Mytilus edulis: one gene and its partners. The protein of the gene in region 1 interacts with the protein of each later gene in a pairwise test. Links are inferred from orthologs where the notes say so. Each region holds a gene or a part of one and is shown in the gene's direction. Other genes may lie near its edges.

Region 1 (7,674 bases):
AACCTTCCATTTTGATTTCTACATATAAATATTTACACTTTTCATTAGATATCTATATACAACTGTCAAAATGTACAAGAAATTCTAATGTTCTTTATTTACAACAATAAACAAGAAATCCTGATACATGTTCTACTTTTACATTTACATTCAATAATAACAGTTCAGTAATTCAGTTTGTCAGAACAATAGAACATTGTCACATAAAATCACATAAACATGTATAATCCTGGTAAAAAGGATAATTTGAAATAAAATCTGGCTTCAAGAAATCATAGCATCACATCATCAACACCATCTAATCTATAAGCATCATATTATCATGATGCTAAAAAGTCTTTGAGAGAACAGTTACTGCAATATTTAAACTGATAAAGTTTTCATAAGCCAATGGTTTCTCTTGACCCCTCATCTTGGAACGTTGTAAAGCAATTTCTAATCACATAAATATACTTATTAAACCAGGTGCTCCGCAGGGCACAGCTTTATCCCCAGTGGTCGAACCCTGAACAGTTGGGGCAAATTTAGTCACAATATTCAAGCTTGATACTGTCAGAATTTGGATTGTGATCAAATTTTTGACATAATATAGGTTTTTGTCACAAAATTAATGTGGTCAAAAATCTAACAAATCTATTGCACAATACTGTGCAATTGAAAATTTCTTCTTGAAACTTTTCAGAATTCGAAATTTAAAAAATTCTGAAAAAAAAGAAATCCCTTTAAAAAATGGTAAAAGCAAAATCCCCCCTCCCCCCCAAACTTTTTGAAACCCCCCTTGGGGCAATAACCCTTAAACTCAATCCCATGCTTTCCTTTGTAGTATTGAACCTTGTAGTACAATATTAGAGAGATCCATACACTTAAACACAACTTATTGTCATGATTGTTTGGAAACTAGAAACATGCATGCTTCTTTTTGGCCCCTTATTCCTACAATTTTGGGGCAATTAACCCAAAACTTAATCCCAGTCTCCCCTTTGTTATATGGTACATTGTGGTACAATTTCAGAGAGATCCATACAAATACACACAAGTAATTGTCTGGAAACTAGAAAATGCTCGTTTTGGTTCTGAATTCCTAAACTTTGGCCCCATAATCCCTAAAATGAATCCAAACCTTCTACTTGTGGTTTTAAACATTGCGGTTTAATTTCAGAGCAATTAAAATACTTGTGCACAAGTTATACTCCTGAAACTAGAAAAATGCTTGTTTTAGGCCCCTTTTGGGCCCCTAATTCCTAAATGGTTGGGACCATCATCCCCAAAACTGATCCCAACCTTCCTTTTGGTGTATTGAACCTTCTGAAAAAATTTCATAAAAGATCTATTCACTTAAACAAAAGTTATTTTCAGGAAACCAAAGTGTCTTCGGACGACGACGACATCAGTCATCATACCATTATACAAGGCCACCCTTAAAATATTGTTTGTTTGGCATTGCCGACCCACACTATCAGCAGGTGGGTAGGTAGGTAGGGATTTTTTTTTTTTTACATTTAAAAGCCTTATACATGTAAATCATGAAGTCTCCAGATCAATGTTGTCTCAAGCATTGCAGCATTGTTGTGTGTACATGCTGGTGGTTTCTTTGAAAGGAGTCAACCATCAATGTCACATTCTACATCATATGGATAATTTCACGTAAGACAGTCAGTTTTATTGGCAAAGTTAACCAAAGTACCCAGAAAAAAAACACAGAACTGAGGCAGGAAACTGACAAATTAACCATATAAAATGTATGACATGAAAATTGAACTTTTATTGTGGGACTGCCCATTGAACAGAGGCCTGATGTCACATCTTGAAGTTGTGGTCACAGTTTGGTAAAATTACCATAATTTAAATGGCTCAACCACTACGGCTCCTTGTACAAATGGACAAAGATTTAAAACTTTGCTTTGGTTTTATAAACATCACTTTCTACACCATATGGGTAATTTCATGGCAGTCAGTTTTAGTGCCATACTAAACCGTAGTACTTGAAGGAAAATGGCAACCTGTGGGAGGAAACTGACTAACCTTATCACATCTGACATGAAAATCAAACCTTAATTTTGCAACTGCCCAACTAGGGCTCAAACCAATACCTGGAGGCTAGTAATCATACATGTAAGGTGTGACGAACTACAATAAAAACATGCCTGATAAGTTTTGAGGATAAAGGATCTGTTCCAAATTAGGATAGCAAAATATCAAAAATTTGGAAGGTTGGCACAAATAGACATGGTGTTTATACTAATATTATCCAAGTGCAAGGTTTTTCAGGGATTTAAAACGTATGATAAATTCAAAATGGAATTATGCAGCAGGACAGACAATTTTTGCAGATAAATAAATTATTGGTTGTAATGCTTGTTTGATTAACAGAAATCTGGACATGCATTACATGAATACAGATAAATTAATGAGCCCTTAGAATTGTGGAAAAAGAGGGGATTTTATTCATCACTAGTACACTGGATTCATTTATAAATATGTTTCTGTCAGTATCTTTTATGTTTTAAGAATTATCTTATTCATGTTAAGAAGAAAGGCAAGAAAAGGGGGAAGTACTTCAATTGACACAAGATGCTAGTCTTTAAAATATGTATGTTTTGTTCCAGGCTAGCATCTACTGGTACAAAACTACTATAAACCTGTAAATCATTATGGTCTTTAAGCTTTGGTGCTTACAGCCATAATTATCTTGAATGCATCATTGTGGGTCTGACTATAGTAGATACTTTGTTCTCTGGTTCAAGGGAAAATTTGTCAATGATAAATTTCAAATATTTAATAAGTTCATCAAATGTAAGAGCCACGCATATTTGTTCTGTGATGTCCCGGTGAAAAACTTCTATCTCATGAAGCGACAAATTCAAGCAGAAATCATCTGTTTCTGCTTTACAAAAGATAAATCTGAGTCCTCTACAAGGTCTCTCAGAACGTTTCTTTCAAAGAATAGCTGAAATTTGAATTTTGATAAAATCCATCTTCCGATCGTCAACAGAGCGTAAATCAACAACATGCGAAGATGATACAGAAAGAGACAGCCATTACCGGCTTATCTTTTTTATTAAACAGTCATAAGTAAATATTATTAATTTTTAAAACAGCGGTACACACATGGTTTAAATATTTTGTGTGTAAGGATATGACCTTTCATTTTTTAAAGCGATCACGTTGACTACACATGTCAACAAAATTAAAAAAAATGGCGGCATATTATTTTATCATGAACGCAAATCGAAAGTACGAAGAAATGACATACCAATGACTTTTATTGTCAAAATTTATACATAATATTAATAATTGAAACCTGTTCACACATTGTGGTAACGTACGCTTTACAGCTTTACGTAATTGATCTAATATTAAAACTGAAAGTAGGTCAGAGTATTTTTCGTTTTCCATGATGCATTATGGCATCACGCGGCCGTAGCAAGGTGATGCATTAAGGCATCATACGGCGGTACCAAGGTGATGCCTTATAATGGCATCATACGCCTTGAATGGGTTTTAACATTGCAGCATAGGGAGATGCCTTCCCCTGCCGGCCTCTTTGATATTACTTTTGGCAGACTTTTTCTATTTCATGTCATTTAAATGTTTGCTCCCAATACAGTGTAAGGCAAGCGCTTTTAAGATCATGATTTGAAATAAGTAAAGCCAGGAACAAACTCGGTGGATACGATCAATTTCCGGCACAATTTCGATATTTTTAAATTAAAAAAAATATATTTCTGAAACGCAAATAAAATTATTTGGGCGGCAAGTTTTTCAGTGGGTCGGGCGGCAATGCCAAACAAATGAAATTTTATTTTAGGCCCAATCCCAAAAATTTTTTGGGGTCGTATAAAAACAAAACTTATATATAAATGTACAAACAAACAAATATTCTATTGCTAATCACAGCACCCGCAACATGCACATGGAGCAGAACAATCAACATTAATTTCATACTAATGATTGTATGATGTACATGAACCTATAATACAATGTATATATTGGACTATAAAAGAAAGTGTACGTTTTATCATAAAAATTACTGGTTCACTTCATTCAGCAAGAATTTTTACCATTGTTCGTCATGTAGGTATCCCCTTTAGGACTCTCATAAAGGTGCTGTTTACATGAACAGTATAAATTTTTGAAATCAAATTAATGTCAAATTAATAATGATAAAATAAATTATTATAATAAATTATAACAAGGATATACAAATCCTTAATTATAAGTTCAAAGTTCTTTATTTCCAATTAAGGGCCCCTGGCGGGACATAATGACAACAATAAACAATACATTCTGATTCTTAACACATAAACATATAATGAAGATAAAATTAAAATTTCTACTGACTGATAACTGTTTAAATTATTTTGGATTTAACAATTTTGAACTGGAGCGTGCTTGATAGAGGCAACTCGTTTTCATATGTTTTATATTAAGTATGAAATTCAAGATATAGTAATGTGGACTTACTTTATTAAACAGCTCAAAGATCTTCAGGGTAAAAATTTGTGGTCTTCTCACTTTCGCGCCATTTTTATCTATGGAAACAGACAGAGATGCTCCGAAAAGCTGTCGTAAACTGTATCTAAACTTCTTTTCCTACAAGGAGTGCAAAACGTTTGATTTTTGAAAGTTAATGTAATTTTTAGTTGTACAAGACTGAAAAAGTTACCTGAAAACGTTTTAAACGTGTAGATTCTTTACAAACTGACTGCGTGTCATGAAAATGCGCACGCACATGCAATATCCGGTAAAGAATGGCCGACACTGCGAAACGGGAGAAAATCGCTGCTGCTAGGAAGAAGGTTATCATCCTATTCCATTATCCCTTTATCACTCAATTTATATATATTGTACAGTAAAGGAAGAGCATTTTTTCCAAATCAAATGACCGATATGTACAGTTTGGTTTCTGTATATTTTCTTTCTTTCTCTCTTCTTTTATTTTGACAGCAGCCGGTTCATCAGTTCGTTTATGCACACAATAATAAAAAAATAAGCTTTATTTAGAGTCGGCAAATAAAGAAAACATCAGCTCAAATGAGCTGATACATGTTATTAAATTAATAGGGACTGTCTGTTTGCTGTGATATAGTATTAATCAGCATAACTGATATGATCATTAAGGCAAAATGAGCTGGAGCGTAGGAGCCTTGGTCCGCAACTTGGTGGTAAAAACAGTTAATCAACAGTGATCAATTCTAGCACTTCTGCAAATGTACAAGACAGACGCCTCGAAACATACCTACCAACCCTCTGAGTCTTGTTTTGAGTAGGATACCCCTGTGCAAACGACGAAATTATATCTTGCTTTTATATTTTGACCTAGAATAACCGAAGATTGTATTTCTCATGACTTATTCATTGATTTCAATATAGAAATAAACCTAACAATCAGCAATCATTTGAAAACTTAGGTCTGACAGAATTTTTAATGTCCCTTCCATATATAATTAGGAATCACAATTCAGTCCTGCTATGTAAGGGAGCTACCATTTGATTTTTATGGGGGGGGGGGGCTAGGATGAAATTTGAAAAAAATAGGCAGGACAGGAATTTTGATTAAAAAAAAAAGGCAGGATGAGACACTTGCAAAAAAAAAGTCAGGATGACAATTTAGGTTAACAAAGTCAGGATAAACTAAAAAAAATGCAGGACAGAATAGAGTGAAAAATAAAAAGGCAGGACAGAGATTACAACTAAAAAAAAATTCAGGACAACATTTTTCATCCTAGCCCCCCCCCCCCCCCATAAAAATCAAATGGTAGCTCCCTAATGTAAACTCCAGTCCAATAAGATAGAGGTCTGTCTAGATCAAGCGGCAGAGTAAAAAAGATATAGATGAATGCAAATCCTAATGTCGAGCAGATTTGAATGATTTATTTTAATTTTTATGACCAAGTTCACTAGGCAATAAATCTTTTTTCAAATCATTGAATTTCTGCTGGTGGTCTGTTCGATGTTTGTAAGCGTGCTTGTAAATAGTAAAGAACTCATATATATATATAAAGAAATCAAAATATGGAATATTATGAGCTATGAGACTTGAACATTGTAGAAGGTGTTGAAACAGGCTGAAAACCCAAGCTTGTATAGATTATAACAGTGAATCAAAGAAAAAAGTATATTTATTTAACTTTTGTTGGAGTTTTGTAGAAACAGGTCATATACAAATGTATTTAACTTGAAAATGTCGTTCATGCAAAATCTATGACAAAGCAGGGGAGATCTCCCTCTTTAAAGGTTTCAGAGGTTGACTGGTATGCTGCTAAATATATACTGAGCAGTGGGAAATTGCATTTTAAGACATATTGGTTACAATTGAATTGTCCATACTATTTTATATTGTGTGTGTTTGTGCATTAATTGGGTTGACAGGTGTTTTGTTTTGGAAAGGAATTTTCCTAAAACTTTCTACAATACAAATTACTGTTCTGGAACATGCGATTTTATCTGCATATGGACAAATGTATACAGCTAGGTTAGAGAAGTTTGGGGGAAAATTCCAAAGGGATTGATTGATATGCAGCAAAAATTTACAAATTAAATTGTTATATTCATGAAAAGAAAATAATACTTTATTGAATGCTCTCGTGACAGGAGCATGAGTCGACTCACTAACCATGCTAACTAGAAAACATAAATGTGAAAAGAGATATTTAATTTGGAACTTAGTGAACTGAAAGATTATTGGTTTTGACTGGCATATTATAATTAATTAAATTGCAGTAATGAATGGATAAATTTTATATTTCTGTTTCAGTTGAACCAGTTTAAGAAGAAAACTGGGAAAACTTCTCCAGCAAATGCTAAAAAGTCTAAGATTAATGACGAAAGTACACAGAACCCAGAAAATGAAATTAAGCATACAGCTGAAAACACATTCCAAAACCTAAATGGTAATTCTGCAACAGATATAATCCAGGTAAAACACTTTCAAGACAAACATTTGTACCTTGTTATTCTAAAGCAGATAAGATCTGAGTAAAACATATTCTATCTGTAATGATGTAATTAATGTTTTTGTAATAGATACATTTACTGATAGGACATGTTTCAATTTCAGTATGTAGTAGATTTTTTTTTAAATTATGAATAAAACAAAATTTTCTACATTAGATATTAGATATTCTTTGAGAGAGCAAATATTTCTTATAGATTTAATATTTATTGTATAATTCCTCACTAGCATATATATCCAAGTAATGCTCACTTGTCTACACTTGTTAGTCAACCAACAATGACAGTTATTAGATGAATACCTGTATGTTATTAAAGAAGTTTAGTGTTATTGTAGAATTTTATAAGTATGTAAAAAAAGTTATATACATTTGTATTTACATTTGCTTGTATGTGTGTAGATTTAGTAATCTGAAAGTCTCCTATTTAAATTCAGACCAAAGATTCTCCAGACTCCATAGAAAACAGAAAAGATAGTGAAGATCTAAAGTAGGTTAAATATACACCAAACATCCTACAATATGTACAATGTAGATATTTCATATGATTAAAAGTTTGCATCCTTTTTTCTTTTTATAGACATATTCAACATATGTGCATGTAAACACACAAATGAACATACTGTAAACCAACTTATTTTCGCGGATACTTTATTTCGCGTTTTACCAATTCTAGTCCGTTTCGCGCCTTTTAAAATTCGCGATTTTCTTATTTACTTGA
Region 2 (6,843 bases), on another chromosome or scaffold:
ACAAAAAAAGGGCTTAATTAAACAGTGCATTATATTTTCATTTTTTTTCTTTCTGATCATTGCAATATATAGACACTTTGTGCTGATGTGAAATCATGAACATTTACAAAGCAGCAATTAACCATTCTCTGAGCAGACATGGAGTCATTAATTACTTTCCAATTACTTGGTAGATGTAATAAATTGCTTCAATTACCATGATTACTACATTTTGTACTATGATTACCTGATTACTTTTAAAATGAAAATTTAGATAAAATATTGAAAACATGAATTTATTCTATGATATGTATATAATAGACTTTAAGTATCTTGTACATCATTTGTACATTGGTTTATAGTAATATAACAAATGAGATCTATTATGAGGGTAGTAATGCCCTTTACCGTCAGGCATCAAATGTCCATTTTCTGCTACCGTTAGCGTCAAATTGATTTAAATTTTACTGTGATTTGTCAAAATATCCTAATCGTGATTCGTCAGAGGTCTCAAATAATTATCGTTTCTGTTATTTTTAGAAAGAAATTAACGTGATTCGTCAAAATCATTCCATTTTTCTATCGTCTAAAAGAAAGTGCATGTTTTATCATCATGCACCAATTACTGTTAACGTCATTTGGCAAGAATTTTTACCGTTATTCGTCATGAAGGTACCCCCATTACCACCCTCTATCATGTCTACAGTGAGTCTGACTATTTTTAGATTCTATTATTCAGCCTGAGTATCAAAGAAGATAAAAAGTGTGCTACAGGAAAAAAGAAAATAACATTCACGAATCTGAAGTGCACATAAAACATTGTTTATCAGGAATAGTTAAGACTGTTGCTAGATTTAATGTTTATTTTAAAATGCTCAAAATGATTACAAACCATATTTGATATGATACATGTACATGTAGGTATCATATAGATAATTTTCCTCGTCTCATGGGTTTTCGTTCTATTAATAATGACTTGTGATGTCACAACTATGCATAGTACTGATTCATATGACGTACAAAAACATATGATCTGACCATAATACTAATAGAAATTAGGAATACCCCATCCCCTAAATCTGCCTCATGGCTTTGTAAAAGAAAGGATTTGCATAGTAAGATGATCTATACATGTTCTTTGTTAAAATTTGAAAATTAAATTGTTGTTAGTACCATGAAATTGTTTATGTTAAATATTAAACAGTAAATATGAACTATCATGATATTAATACTAAATTATTTAGTAAATAAATAACTCTAATACTATAATATTCATTGCTAAACTTTAACTTAAAGTATAGTTTGATTCCTTACATCCAGGTGAATTGGACACTGGTGGGTAGTTGTCTAATTGACAATCTTGTCAATCTTGTCACATCTCTTTATTTGTATATCATATGATGATATCAAAGAGAAAATTGCTTATAATTATTCAATAACCTACAGCTATTTATTCTAACATGGTAAAATCTAAAGAAGAAATTTAAATGGATAAAACCCGAGAATATCTAATTACCTAATCAGATTGTGAAGCTTGAGGGTACATTTAAAAGTATAACTAAATACCATTTTTTTTTTATTAAATAAAGCAAAGCACAGCATACCTTACAGATGTTATAACTCATACAATTATAGATATAATATGAATTGCTCAGGAACTGAATTTATTGATATTTGTGTTCGGTGTTTAATCTTTTTTCTCTTGACCATATTATTATCTGTTGTCGGTATTTCGTCGACCTGTGCTTTTATTGGTCTCTTGACATCTTCTTTCTTTTCATTTTTTAAATGATTGTTGATGTTGAAATATACATGTCCTTTTATCTATAAGGAAAACGAGAAAGTTCGTGAGAAAATGTGCTAAAAACTAGTCACAAGTTTTATGAAGATATTTGTCATTTTCGTTTGTTGAGGTCTGGCGAAATACTGCTGTAACTTTGTTCAAGGAATTGTATATTTGTACACCTTAAAACAAAAGGAAACATATTTGATTATATACAGATGACTGAATTTGGTTATAATAATCACTAAATAATAAATATCATAATTAATTCATAGGATTGTCATCATAAAGTTGTTTTTTTAGAAATATATATTAAATGTGTTACTGAGTAGTCCGATGCACTAACCACTACACAACGGCTCTCTAATAAATACATAAGTTTCTAAAAGGCATTTAAGATGCTTTCAATTTTATGCATACAAATATTTTTTTGTTGAAAATTTCACTTTAAAGGAAGAATTCAAATCATTCAAAAAAAGCTATATACGTTAAGGTATTTATACATTGATCATTCATCTTTTCCTTTTTTTTCTTCTCATTTTTTTCTTTCTTTTTTCTTTTTCTTTTTTCTTGTAAAGCGATTTGAATCATTTGATTGATATTTTTTTAATGTTCAACATTGATCTACAAGCCCTAAGCATTCACGATCCTTGGAGATTACCATTGTGTAAACTCAAACTGAGATAGGAGATAGTTAAACTTACGAATCTTTTTTTTTTTTTGCATTTAAGAAAGAATAAAGGTTATTAGTAAAAAGTTCGTTCTGAACATACATGAAATATTTGCCACTGAAAATTAAATAAGCAACAATCATTTCAGTAACGTTCGTTTACAAAATCAAACTCAAGTTATTTCTTTTTAATTTCATTTTTACCTCTCTTGTATTCTTTTAATGACCGTGCCAATGTAAGTATTGTAAGTATGCAATTACATAATAGACACAAGAGTCTACTCGTGTTGACTGTTTCATTTTGTAATTATATAAAATGCAAATAGGCAAAAATCATTGCCACAGTTGACACTGAAACAAAGCGAAATATACGTCATGTGTTGCCGTTTTTTTTGTTTTTTTTTTTAAATAATTGTAAGCTACCGAGGTGACTACTGAGATATCTGAGCCAAACTTCCAAGCCAAATCTATGTATTTGTGAAAGTGTGTATAGGGTTTACAGAATAATGCCATGATAGTGGGCGAAAGGTACAGAATAAACGACTAAAACAATTAAAGAATAGAAAAATAGGTAAATCTATAAAAAAATAAAAAAAATAAAAAAATAGTGATTTAATGGGGCTAAAATAGAAACAATAGAGTAAAATGATCTCAACAATTAATGAATGAATACAGAGGTTAACCCCAACCCCTCCAACCACCACCACCACCACCACCACCACCACCCCACCCCCCGTTTTTCCTACCGTGAGAAACTGTCCATTTTAATTGTTGGTATTGGCTTTGAACTATCTGTCAGTAACTGTTGAGTACCCTCAGATCTGTAATTAGTGTCTTTTTGTTGTTGGGATGTACAAGTCTTGTACATACCAACATCGAACGGTACTCGGCCACGTCCACTCAGTGTTTTTGTTAGATGTATTTCTTTTTGTATTCATCAGATGAGACGTGCCTGCCTTTTCCAACTGGTTTTTTTTTATAGTTTGTTCATATATATTACGGTTCTGTAATGCCACTGTCCCAGGTTAGGGGTAGTTGGGATCCCGCTAACCTGGTATGTTTAACCATGCCACATTCTGTATGTAACCGTGCAGTATATGTGCCTGTCCCAATTAAGTTCAAGAGCCTGTAATTCAGTGTTTGTTGTTGTTTTGCTGTGTTACATATTTGTTTTTGTTCATTATTTGTACATAACTTAGGTTTTCTCTTCTGAATTGTTTGCACTTGTCATTTCTGGACTTGTATTGAAAGATAACTTGGGCGTGACTAAAATGTTTATGAATTAAACGACGTACACAATAAAGAAATCGTCTTCTTATAGAAAGACAATAACAATCAAAACAAAGGAGTAAATTTTAATAGTTAAATCATTTCCTTTGAAAAAAAGTGCATTTGAAATTCAAGGAATATAAAAATTGGTGGTCCCCATCCAGACCATCAAAATGTCATTAGTTAGTTATGATGCGCTGTAGTTTTAACATTTAAGTTGGTTTTAAGTTAAATTTATTTTGTTTCTGTAACAGTAAATTTTCATAAGTGCTTTCATCTGCAAATAAAATGGCGGCGCCCATGGATACATCCGGTTGATGAGATAAACACAAAAATTATAAATATTTTAATTTTTTTTCTTACAATCCAAGATGAATACAGATCGCAAACGTCGATCCAGAGTTCAAGGTGGTTGGGCTGCACCATCAAATGTCAGATCGGACAGAAACAAACCCCAAGTTCCTCAAGCTCCAGCTTGGACTGGAAAAAATGTTGATCAAGTCCAACATACTGAAAAGAAATTTATGTTCCAAGAATCTGAAGAGGTATTAACGAAATGTAAAATGAGGACATATATATCACTTTATATTCAATAATAATTTCTATGGGAAATGCAGGGTTTCAGTTTATTGTTAGGCTCTGATGAGAGGATTTTGGTCTTGTCACAAAAAATTCTTCCAGTACATCTAATAATAATATCATGATATCTAATATGAGGCAGGAATTACCTGTGAATGGAGAAGTTTATGATTATTTTTTTTTTAAATCAACACTGTTAAAATGAGAAACAGAAATAACGCAACGTTTCCGATTTTGGTTCTGTTGTTAGGGATAATATGAGGCAGGCATTACCTGTAAATGGGGACGAAGTCTGTATGAATTATTTTTTTGTAACTTAATTATTTGTCAAAAAAAAAGACACGGAAATACCGTAACGTTTCCGATTTTGGTTCTGTTGTTAGGGATTTTAGTTGTGACGTTATTTAAATTATGACGTCATATGCAATGTAAACAAAGAAACGCTATCATTAGGTAACGTTTTTTCATATCAAGGAATTATTAAAAATGAAATTGGTATTGCGAGTTCCTTCCTGTTTTATACTAGACTGATAAATATATATTTTACTCAAAGTTTCATACAAACGGGACCGGAAAAAGGAAGTATATTGAACATTTCTGCGCCGGTCTGGGATTTCAAAACACGACACAAAAAATTTGAACGATTTTGAGTTCATTAGTACAATGAAAAATTCGGGAAATTTTCCCATATTTTTTTTTTTATTGAATTTTCTACTGTTATTGGGGACTCCGTCCCCATAATATGAGGCAGGCATTACCTGTAAATGGGGACGAAGTCTGTATGAATTATTTTTTTGTAACTTTAATATTTGTTAAACAAAAGAAATGGAAATACCGTAACGTTTCCCGGATTTTGGTTCTGATGTTAGGGATTTTAGTTGTGACGTTATTAAAGTTATGACGTCATATACAATGTAAACAAAGAAATGCTATCATCAGGTAACGTTTTTTCATATCGAGGAATTATTAAAAATGAAATTGGTATTGCGTTCCTTCCTATTTTATACAAGACTGATAAATATATATTTTACTCAAAGTTTCATACAAACGAGACCGGTAAAGAAAGTACATTGTAGATTTCTGTGCAGATCCGGAAATTCAAAAACGCGACAAAAAAAAATTGAATGATTTTTGAGTTCATTAGTACAATGAAAATATCGGGAAAATTTTCCCGATTTTTTTTTTTTTTTTTTTTATTGAATTTTCTACTGTTAATGGGGACTTCGTCCCCATATTAATTGTGACGTTATTTAAGGTATGACGTCATATTCAATGTAAACAAAAAAACACTGTCATCAGGTAACATTTTTTTAATAACAAACATTTTTTTTTTAATGAATTAGTATTAGTTCCTTTCTTAGACTGATAAATATACATTTTATTCAAAGTCTCATGTAAACAAGACCGGAAACGGAAGTAGATTTCTGCGCCGATCCAGAAATTCAAAAACGTGACAAAAAAAAAAATTGAACGATTTTGAGTTCATTAGTACAAATAAAAATTCGGGAAATTTTCCCGATTTTTTTTTTTTTATTGAATTTTCTACTGTAATAAATGACTCTAGTTTTCCGTAACGTTTTTTATATTTTGATGATGCAGTTGTCAATTGCACATTAACTTGACTTGTTATGTCATAAATCTACTCATTTGCTACTGTTGAATAGGGTTCTTCACGGTTAGTTCTGCCATATTTGATATATATATATAGGGGGCAGATTTTTTAGAAAGAGGTGCAGATACATTTGTAGTATGAAAGTGTGGGAAATCTTATGCATTTTTCCAAGCAACTGCTCTGTTTTACACACCATTTTTACCTCTGTTATGAAAATCTGCCCCTATCCAATATGGCTGAACTAACCGTGAAGAGCGTTATTAGCTAATATGAGGCAGGCATTACCTTAGTCCAAATAATTATGACGTCTTGGAAGGCTATTTTAAATTTTTGCTTTAAGGCGTAAGGCATCAAAGAAAGAAAAAAAATAACCTTTCAAGATGTCATAATTATTTGGACTAGCATAACCTGTGAAAGGGGACGAAGTCTGTAAGAATGATTTTTTTGTAACTTCAAAATTGTTAAAAAAGAAAGGGAAATACCATAACATTTCAGATTAAGGTTCTGTTGTTATAGATTTTACTTCTTACGTTATTTAAGATATGATGTCATGTTCAATGTTAACAAAGAAACGTGATCATCAGGTAAAGTTAATTCATTTCAAAGACAAAGATTTATTAAAAATGAAATTGGGATTGTGTTACTTTAGTATACTCAAAGTCTCATGACAAAGAGACAGGAAAAAGGAAGTAGATTTTTGTGTTCCTCACAAATGTGGGAATTAAAAGTGACCAAAAAAAAGTTAACGATTTTTAGTTCATAAGTACATGTACATTGAAAATTTCGGGAAATTTTCTTGATGTTTTTTTTTCATTATTTTTTTTATTGATTTTTCTACTGTAATATGGGACTCTATCCCCTTATGAACACGAAGAAACAAAGTTCATTTCAAATGACAAGGGACTTTGTCCCCTTAAATGAACACAAAGAAACAAAGTTCATTTCAAATGG
Region 3 (7,754 bases), about 21 Mb from region 1:
AGAATAATACTGGGCCCAGAACTGTGCCTTGAGGGACACCTGATGTGACTGGGGCTAGGTCAGATGACTCTCCATCCAGGACAACTGTTTGTGTTCTGTCATTTAAGAAGGCAGAGACCCAGTTTAAAGTTTCATTTTGGATACCGTAATAGTGTAATTTATAGAGTTATCTTTCATGAGGAACTTTGTCAAAGGTTTTGACAAAGTCCATTATAATTAAGTCTATTTGAGTGTTGTTGTTATCATTTGCTGCAAGTTCTTGGATGAATGAAATGAGTTGAGTTTCGCAAGATCTAGACTGACGGAAGCCATGCTGGATGTCATACAGTATATTGTTCGTTTCAAGATGGTTGATGATTTGTTTAGTGATGATATGCTCCATAAGTTTACAGAAAATACATGTCAATGATATAGGACGGTAATTTTCTGGTTTATATTTTCCCCCTTTTTTAAGTACTGGTGCTACGTTGGCGTGTTTCCAGTCTGATGGTATAAAGCAAGTTTCAAGTGATGTTTTGAAGATAAGTGTAAGAATTGGAGCTGTTTGGTCATTGAGTTCTTTAAGTATTCTGCCTCTGATATTGTCTGGGCCGGTTGCCTTTTGTGGGTTTATAGTGTGTAGGAGTTTCTTGACACCAGGTTAAGATATTTCGAGTGGTGTTATCACAGGATGTGAAAGGAAAAGAGGGACGAAAGATACCAAATGGACAGTCAAACTCATAAATCTAAAACAAACTGACAACGACATGGCTAAAAATGAAAAAGACAAACAGAAAAAACAATAGTACACATGACACAACATAGAAAACTAAAGAATAAACAACACGAACCCCACCAAAAACTAGGGGTGATCTCAGGTGCTCCGGAAGGGTAAGCAGATCCTGCTCCACATGTGGCACCCGTCGTGTTGCTTATGTGATTACAAATCCGGTAAATAGTCTAATTCGGTAGGTCACATTCATGAAAGGGAAGGGGATTGTAGCTACGACGTAAAGAACATATCCGATATCATTTGTGAACCGGTTATTCCATAACGGTCAACCAACTCGTGATGGCGTCCGTAAAATTTACGAAGGGATGATTTCAACTTCACCATTTGGAACTCTTGGTTTAATAGCTTTCTTGTGAGCAGTAACCCTCTATCAAGAAAATCATGATAGGAAATGCAAGCACGGGAATATCGTATCAATTGGGAGATATATACCCCGTATGCAGGTGCTGCTTGAATGTGGCTACTTAGAAATGGAAAGTTCACAATTGGAAAGTTGAAATCATCTCTTTTGTCGTAAAGTTTTGTTTTCAACCGACCCTCATTGTCAATTTCTAGATGTAAGTCAAGATATGAAGCCGACTTAACTGTATCTGTAGTATCCTTTATCTCCAATTCGATGAGATAGATGCGTTCCACATAGTCACCAACTTTTGAATTGTTTAGTGAAAGAACGTCATCTAAATAGCGGAAAGTAGAGTTAAAGGATATTGCTAACTTCTTATCTTTCTTCCTAAGAAGTTCCTGCATGAAGTCAGCCTCATAATAATAAAGAAACAAGTCGGCAAGTAGAGGGGCACAGTTTGTTCCCATTGGGATGCCGACAGTCTGTTGAAAAATACGTCCTCCGAACGTTACAAACATGTTGTCAATCAAGAAATCAAGCATCTTGATAATATCGGTTTCAGAGAATTTTATTGTTTGAATCAGAGTGATTCTTTACAAAGTATGATTTATCCCTCCCTAAGACAAGATACTTGTATCTACGTTGGCCATTCTTTTTTATGAAGCAAAGTAATACCAAATCTTTCAATTTGTCTTTTAGTTTGGAATGTGGAATACTTGTGTAAAGAGTAGAAAAGTCAAATGTTTTAATACTGTTACAAGATGAAAGAGAGTTAGATTGTATGTACTCTAAAAGATCTTTGGAATTTTTAAGTATCCACATCTGATTCCCGCCACCTCTAGAATAGGCAGTTTCACAATAACTTTGAAGCTCGTCTTTGATTGCTGATAAAATAGATGTTAATAATTTAGAAAGAGGTTTCGTGGAGCACTTGGAAGACCCAGCAATATACCGTTGTTTGTAAGGACACTTATGTAGTTTAGGTATCCAATACAGTGATGGAAGATCCAGTTCTTCATCTTTGGTTGAAATACCAAAGGAACAAAGAACAGACCTATGATTATCCAGGATTTCCTCTTTGGTAATTGTCGTGAGGGTATATGTTGAGTTTCCAAGTGAATTGTCTATACCTAATTCGTTTATCAAGCAATTAATGTAGTGACTTTTACAGACAAAAACGATGTTATTTGGGGCTTTGTCTGCGGGGACAACAACATATTTATCATGGAGGTCGGATAAGTGTTTAGCAACATTTGGGTCTTTAAAGATTGACGTAGCATGGGCATTGGTGGACCCATTCAGTTTCTTGATTCTAATTTGTATTAACGACCTCACTGCCTTAATCCATTCGGATAGAGTGTCTACGTCTTCCTTTTCACGTTTAGCCCATTGCCTGGCATAATCCTCGACTGAGTCCATCAAAATTTTAAAGTTGTATTTCCAATTGATGGATTTAGGCTCACGATATTTCGGACCTTTCGATAACACATTTCGTAGAGAAGTGTTATTAGCAATGTTAAGGTCACCGGTAATAACGTGGCCAGCAGGATTATATATGAATTGGGAACTAGCACAAGTGCAATCAGGAGGTTTAGACTTGAAGTCGTCAATATCAAGATTCTGCAAAACGCGTTTGTAATTGAAAATTTTAGTTGCAATAGGTTTGGTATAGGTATAAGAAATTATTGGTACAGACTAGTCTTTGAAATAAGGAGGTATTTTCGATTGAACTAATTTATGATGAAGGATATTGCCTAGGTTGACGCCATCGAGACCTTTGTTGGCAAAGGAAAGATTTAGAAAAGATTTTTTCTCTTTTTCATCTTTTCCAATGCGAACTGGCTTGAAAAGTCTGTGACTTGCAATATCCGAAATTATAGCTTGAAGTTTGTATTGGTTTGAATGAGGGTTTGTAACAGTGGATTCCAAACATAAATTGAACAGAGAATGAAGTTTTGAAAGGGGTAATGAATAAAGTTTCGTGCGAATGTGATGAATACCTAACGGCTTTTGTATGAATGACAGCAAGTCATTAATAGAGACATCATGCAGGGAAGGTGATGTATAATGACGATGACCATGACTGCGTCTACGTCGAGGAGTCGAGTTGAAAATATTCATCACATTCACCGAGTTACACGAAGGACTAGATAGAATACCTATACCATCAATTTTGTCATTGCAGCCATACGGTGTTGCAGTTCCCAATTGTCTAATCCAGTAGTCTTCTTTTTGTCTACGGAGAGTCGTTGAAATATTAGGATTGTTAGAGCTATGGTATATCTTTTCGATAATGCGAACTGTCATAGAAACGATGGAATGATCGGGCTGATTGAAATGCTGGTATAGAATGTCGTTAGCATTGAGGTTAATGTCTGATCTATGACCGCACATACGTTTGTTTAGCCTTCCTTTCGTTTCACCGACGTATACCAATCCGCAAAGGTTGCACAAAGGTGTGAGCTAGGACCTTTGTCTGGAATGGTGTTATTTGATTCAGTTGTAAACACTGATTGGAATTGTGTGTTGAGGATGTCTGCCTTTTGCTTTGTATCATCTATTAACTGTCCTTTTTTTAGTGGTGCGACACCGTTGTTATCTGTGCTCAGTGATTTAATAAAGGAAAATAGCTTTTTAGGTTTAGATTGATTGTTGCACTGTTGGTCTGGTTCATTTATGGGTAGGTCTAATATCATTTTTTCAATATAACCCCAGTATGCAGTTCTTTGTTCTTTTTGTACTTGTTTTCTCAGACGTCGGTACTTTTCAGCATACCTGGTGTCTTGTTTCATTTTATGATATAGCTTGTTTTTTTCTATTTATCATTTTCCTTAAATTGTTGTGAATCCAAGGTAGTCTATTTTTGTATGTTAGGAACTTATGAGGAATGTTGTTTTCCACCGATTTTGTAAGGTTTGTTTTAAATGTGTCAACTTCCACATGTCATTTACATTTGTTTTGTCCTCTAGGTTTAGTAGATCTTTGTATGTTTTTTCTAGATCTGATTTGATGTTACTCCAGTTAGATTTGTTGTATTTCAATATTTTTCTAGGTTTTTCTCTCACCCTGCGCAACCAAATGTCAGATTCTACATAAACAATGTCGTGGTCACTAAGGCCTATTGGTGGTAGTGTACTAACCTTGTTAATGTTGGATGGATTATTGACTAGTACTAAATCTAAAAAAAAATCTTTCCGTGTTGTTATGTTCACTATAATTTGATGAAAGTTTCTATCGATAATTTTTATAGCACTCTACTGTGCTGAGAAAGGAAATCATCAGTCAGTGAGATCAAAGCAACATTTCGTAAATTAGCTACAAATACATTTCTAACGACAAAACATATCATTTATCTATATGTTTAACTTAACAAATATTTTCGGTTATCAATAAAAAGCGCAAGGAAATACCTGAGGCAACATATATAACATCGCTATAACCTCTCAGTGTTATCAGTGAGGGCTCAGCCAATGCAAAAATATCTTGATACATTAAGTATTTATACGTTTTCCTAAAATTCAAATCATATACTGAAAGAGTTGTTCATGAATAATATCGCTAAGCCGCGCGCGATCTCTACCAGGAACGGTCGAAAATTACGTCATCGATCAATCAGTTTAAACTGAGACGTAATAGCAGACGAAGCATTGTACCATATAGGAAATTTAAGGGAAGTTGCACGAATTCGGAAGTTGTGTGTTACGGATATTTTCATGAAAAGATACAGATAAATGCCATATATAGTACAATCCACTTCAATCAGTGAATATTCTACGACGATCGAGCATTTGTATATTTACAAAGCCTTGTGACGACACAGTATAGCGGTACGGCAAAATAATGTGCTCCTCTTAACGGAGGAAGTTAGAGGTTTCTATTTGGACACAGGTCAAAGCGTTCTGTTAGTTTCTTTCCCCTGTCCACAATAAACGCATACTTTTTTTCAAAATAAATAATTTTTCGAGGTTTATGTGAAAGGTATGCAGAAAACTGGACAGTCTTTACAGGTAAGTTTACAGATGAAAAGAATAATGCTACAGTACCCAATATTCACCCAATGTGAAAGCAACGTAAATCTAGATTTTCAACTCTTTTTTTCCGTCGTCTTCTCTCATTCTCCGTCTACAAGTCTAGTGTACTTATAACATTCTTTTAAAGAATCCAGTCCTTAGCATGGAAGAAGAAAAAGAAGAAGAAATTATCATGATTATGTCCAAGAGAGGATTATCTACAATAGAGATTACCCTGTCATCACGACAAAGATTGAAGATTATGTCTCAAAATGCATAAAAAACACACCGAACAAATATGACTAATATTATCCTAAGATGATACTTTCCATTGACCTAAGTGCTATTTGTCTGCCATTACTGGAAGTCACAACAGATGTACCCATTCCAGTTTAAATTTTGGTCTGGGGACAGAGATGTGTGTGGGAGGGTAAAAATCACCCTTCTGATGTACTGACAGGGGCGTAGCTAGCTATTCATTCAACTGTAGTCACAAATCGGCAGGGGGTCTGGAGGCCACTTATGAATTATGGGTAATAAGTAGCATTTAACCATTGGTTAAGTAACTTATCCAGTGGCTTACTAACCATGCTAACCAGACTCCCATTTAACCATGGAGCAATGGAAAAATAGCCAACGGATAGTAAGCCACTGGATAACATAATTAGCCGTTGGATAAGCTAACCAATGGTTAAATTTAGCCATAGATTTGAGCAACCCAGTCCAGGTAGGGGGTTCAGGGGGGGGCGAAACCCCCTGACTGAAAATGGTTTTCAGCGTTTTAGCTGCAAAATTTTATGTACTAAAATATTAAATTTACTGGTTATTTAATCATGATAATTATAAAATACATGATGAAAATTTCGTAGAATTATGAATAATGTACCATAACATCTGACTGGTGAAAATTTTTAAATAACACAGTACAATCCGTAATATAAAGAAAAATATTTACAATATGCATTGCCCAGCGTAGATCAGCGTATCCCTTTAATTTTAGCAGTACACCCTGTTTTGTATTATCATATCTATTCCGTTCTGATTGATATATACGTTAACTTAATTAATAGTACATATTGACGATCCTTCATTAAAAAAGATAGGCATGTAAACACTGATACTACAAATGTACTATATAATAGAACTATCCTTTTGGCTAGACATCAACCATCAATCTTTTGAATCTTAAACCTTCACCCTAAGGCCTAACAAAATTCAAATTTCTTTATATATCCTCTTCTGTAAAATCCCTACCTGCTTAGGAATTTTGAATAATTGTGGCCATTACACGCAGATTTGAGAGTACTCAAAATTACTGGAAGCCAGTTGATTGATTGATTTGTTTACATCCAGTGTCAAATATTTATGCAATTTCAGGACCGTTGAATTTTCTTTTTGCAATAAATACAACTTGGAGCTAGGTCCTGTAATAGGTGTCATCCAGGACGAAGGTCTGGAAATTTAAAAATACCATGCATTGGAAAATGAGGGATTATTGGATAGGAGCAGAAGTTTTGCCTTTCAGTAGACCAACTACGAACTCCTTAAATAGTTGCATTCTCTCTACAACTAGGCATCTGATTTAATGTTCCCATTCTGACCAGATGTGACTGCGTATTTATACATCCTGCACACCCAAACAGATGACCAACATTGGCATTTCGGGTGAAGACAATGTGGTAAACTATTTGAAAACTGACAACAACTAATTAAAAAACTCATGTGTCTAAGTTAAGGTTCATTCAAGTTTTTGTTGATAGAAGTGAAATGATCTGAGCAAAGTTATAGTTTTAACATGTTTAATATAGTTTTTATATAATGTAAAATCGTAAAAACATTAAATTCTATCTCATATTCCATTCACTCAAGGAGGAGAGACTAGTGTACACATGACATTGGATAATTTAAGAGTTTTGACAACTTCACCAGCTTTCATCTACAGATAATGTTGTTTATTATTTTTTTTTGATAAAAAAATATAAATGTGAAAAAATTATGTGTAGGCACGTGCCTAAAGTGCCTAACGGCAGCTACCCACCCCCCTGACTGATAGTTTGAGCTCCCAGAGTCAAAATCAAACTCAGAACCCTAAGCACAGTAGACATCTGTATATCAACCTCTTAGACCACAAACCCACACTAAAAGTGCTACAACCTTTTCATCCTCCACATACATTTGTACACCTTATCGCTATCTACTGGACATCACACAGGTTCCCGTAAAATTTTAACGTCATATAAGACATAATACAAAATATCTGAAACCACAATGGAAAAGTGATTGTTGTATGATGTCAATAGTTCAAGCAGGACAGATTCTCAGGTCCACCTGGAACAGTCAGAGCTCAGACATAAATAAGTCTGAATCTGCTTTTGACTCATAGAGGTCTAAATTTGTAAGTTTTAGGATTAGTCTCCCCTTAATGCAAGACAAAATATGACTTTAATAAGTCAAATCTTGTTAAGCAAGAAATAATTGACCACAATCAAAAAGTTGCATATATCGACTCCTACAAGTCGATAAGTGATCAAAATTGGTTAACTTCAAGACCCACGCATATTTATAAGGAGGTCATGCATCTAAATCAAATAATGACAACATTGAAAGACAATGCTTTGTCTTCTAAAGA

Evidence for each region. The genes of interacting proteins can lie anywhere in the genome.
Region 2: the proteins of golgin subfamily A member 2-like (region 1) and alpha-ketoglutarate-dependent dioxygenase alkB homolog 3-like interact in binary tests that used the Homo sapiens proteins (3 or more experiments, as listed by UniProt). The link is inferred for Mytilus edulis from reciprocal best matches to the Homo sapiens genes GOLGA2 and ALKBH3.
Region 3: the proteins of golgin subfamily A member 2-like (region 1) and cyclin-H-like interact in binary tests that used the Homo sapiens proteins (3 or more experiments, as listed by UniProt). The link is inferred for Mytilus edulis from reciprocal best matches to the Homo sapiens genes GOLGA2 and CCNH.

What each region holds. Positions count from the first base shown.
Region 1 is NC_092345.1:23,876,992-23,884,665, reverse strand, and holds the start of golgin subfamily A member 2-like, read left to right. Parts: upstream 1-4,674; 5' UTR 4,675-4,751; coding exon 4,752-4,799; intron 4,800-6,757; coding exon 6,758-6,919; intron 6,920-7,390; coding exon 7,391-7,443; intron 7,444-7,674. UniProt on the Homo sapiens protein: Peripheral membrane component of the cis-Golgi stack that acts as a membrane skeleton that maintains the structure of the Golgi apparatus, and as a vesicle thether that facilitates vesicle fusion to the Golgi membrane.
Region 2 is NC_092353.1:42,728,057-42,734,899, reverse strand, and holds the start of alpha-ketoglutarate-dependent dioxygenase alkB homolog 3-like, read left to right. Parts: upstream 1-3,836; 5' UTR 3,837-4,072; coding exon 4,073-4,246; intron 4,247-6,843. UniProt on the Homo sapiens protein: Dioxygenase that mediates demethylation of DNA and RNA containing 1-methyladenosine (m1A). Repairs alkylated DNA containing 1-methyladenosine (m1A) and 3-methylcytosine (m3C) by oxidative demethylation. Has a strong preference for single-stranded DNA.
Region 3 is NC_092345.1:45,276,613-45,284,366, reverse strand, and holds the start of cyclin-H-like, read left to right. Parts: upstream 1-4,747; 5' UTR 4,748-4,942; exon of another isoform or gene 4,943-5,122; intron 5,123-7,754. UniProt on the Homo sapiens protein: Regulates CDK7, the catalytic subunit of the CDK-activating kinase (CAK) enzymatic complex. CAK activates the cyclin-associated kinases CDK1, CDK2, CDK4 and CDK6 by threonine phosphorylation.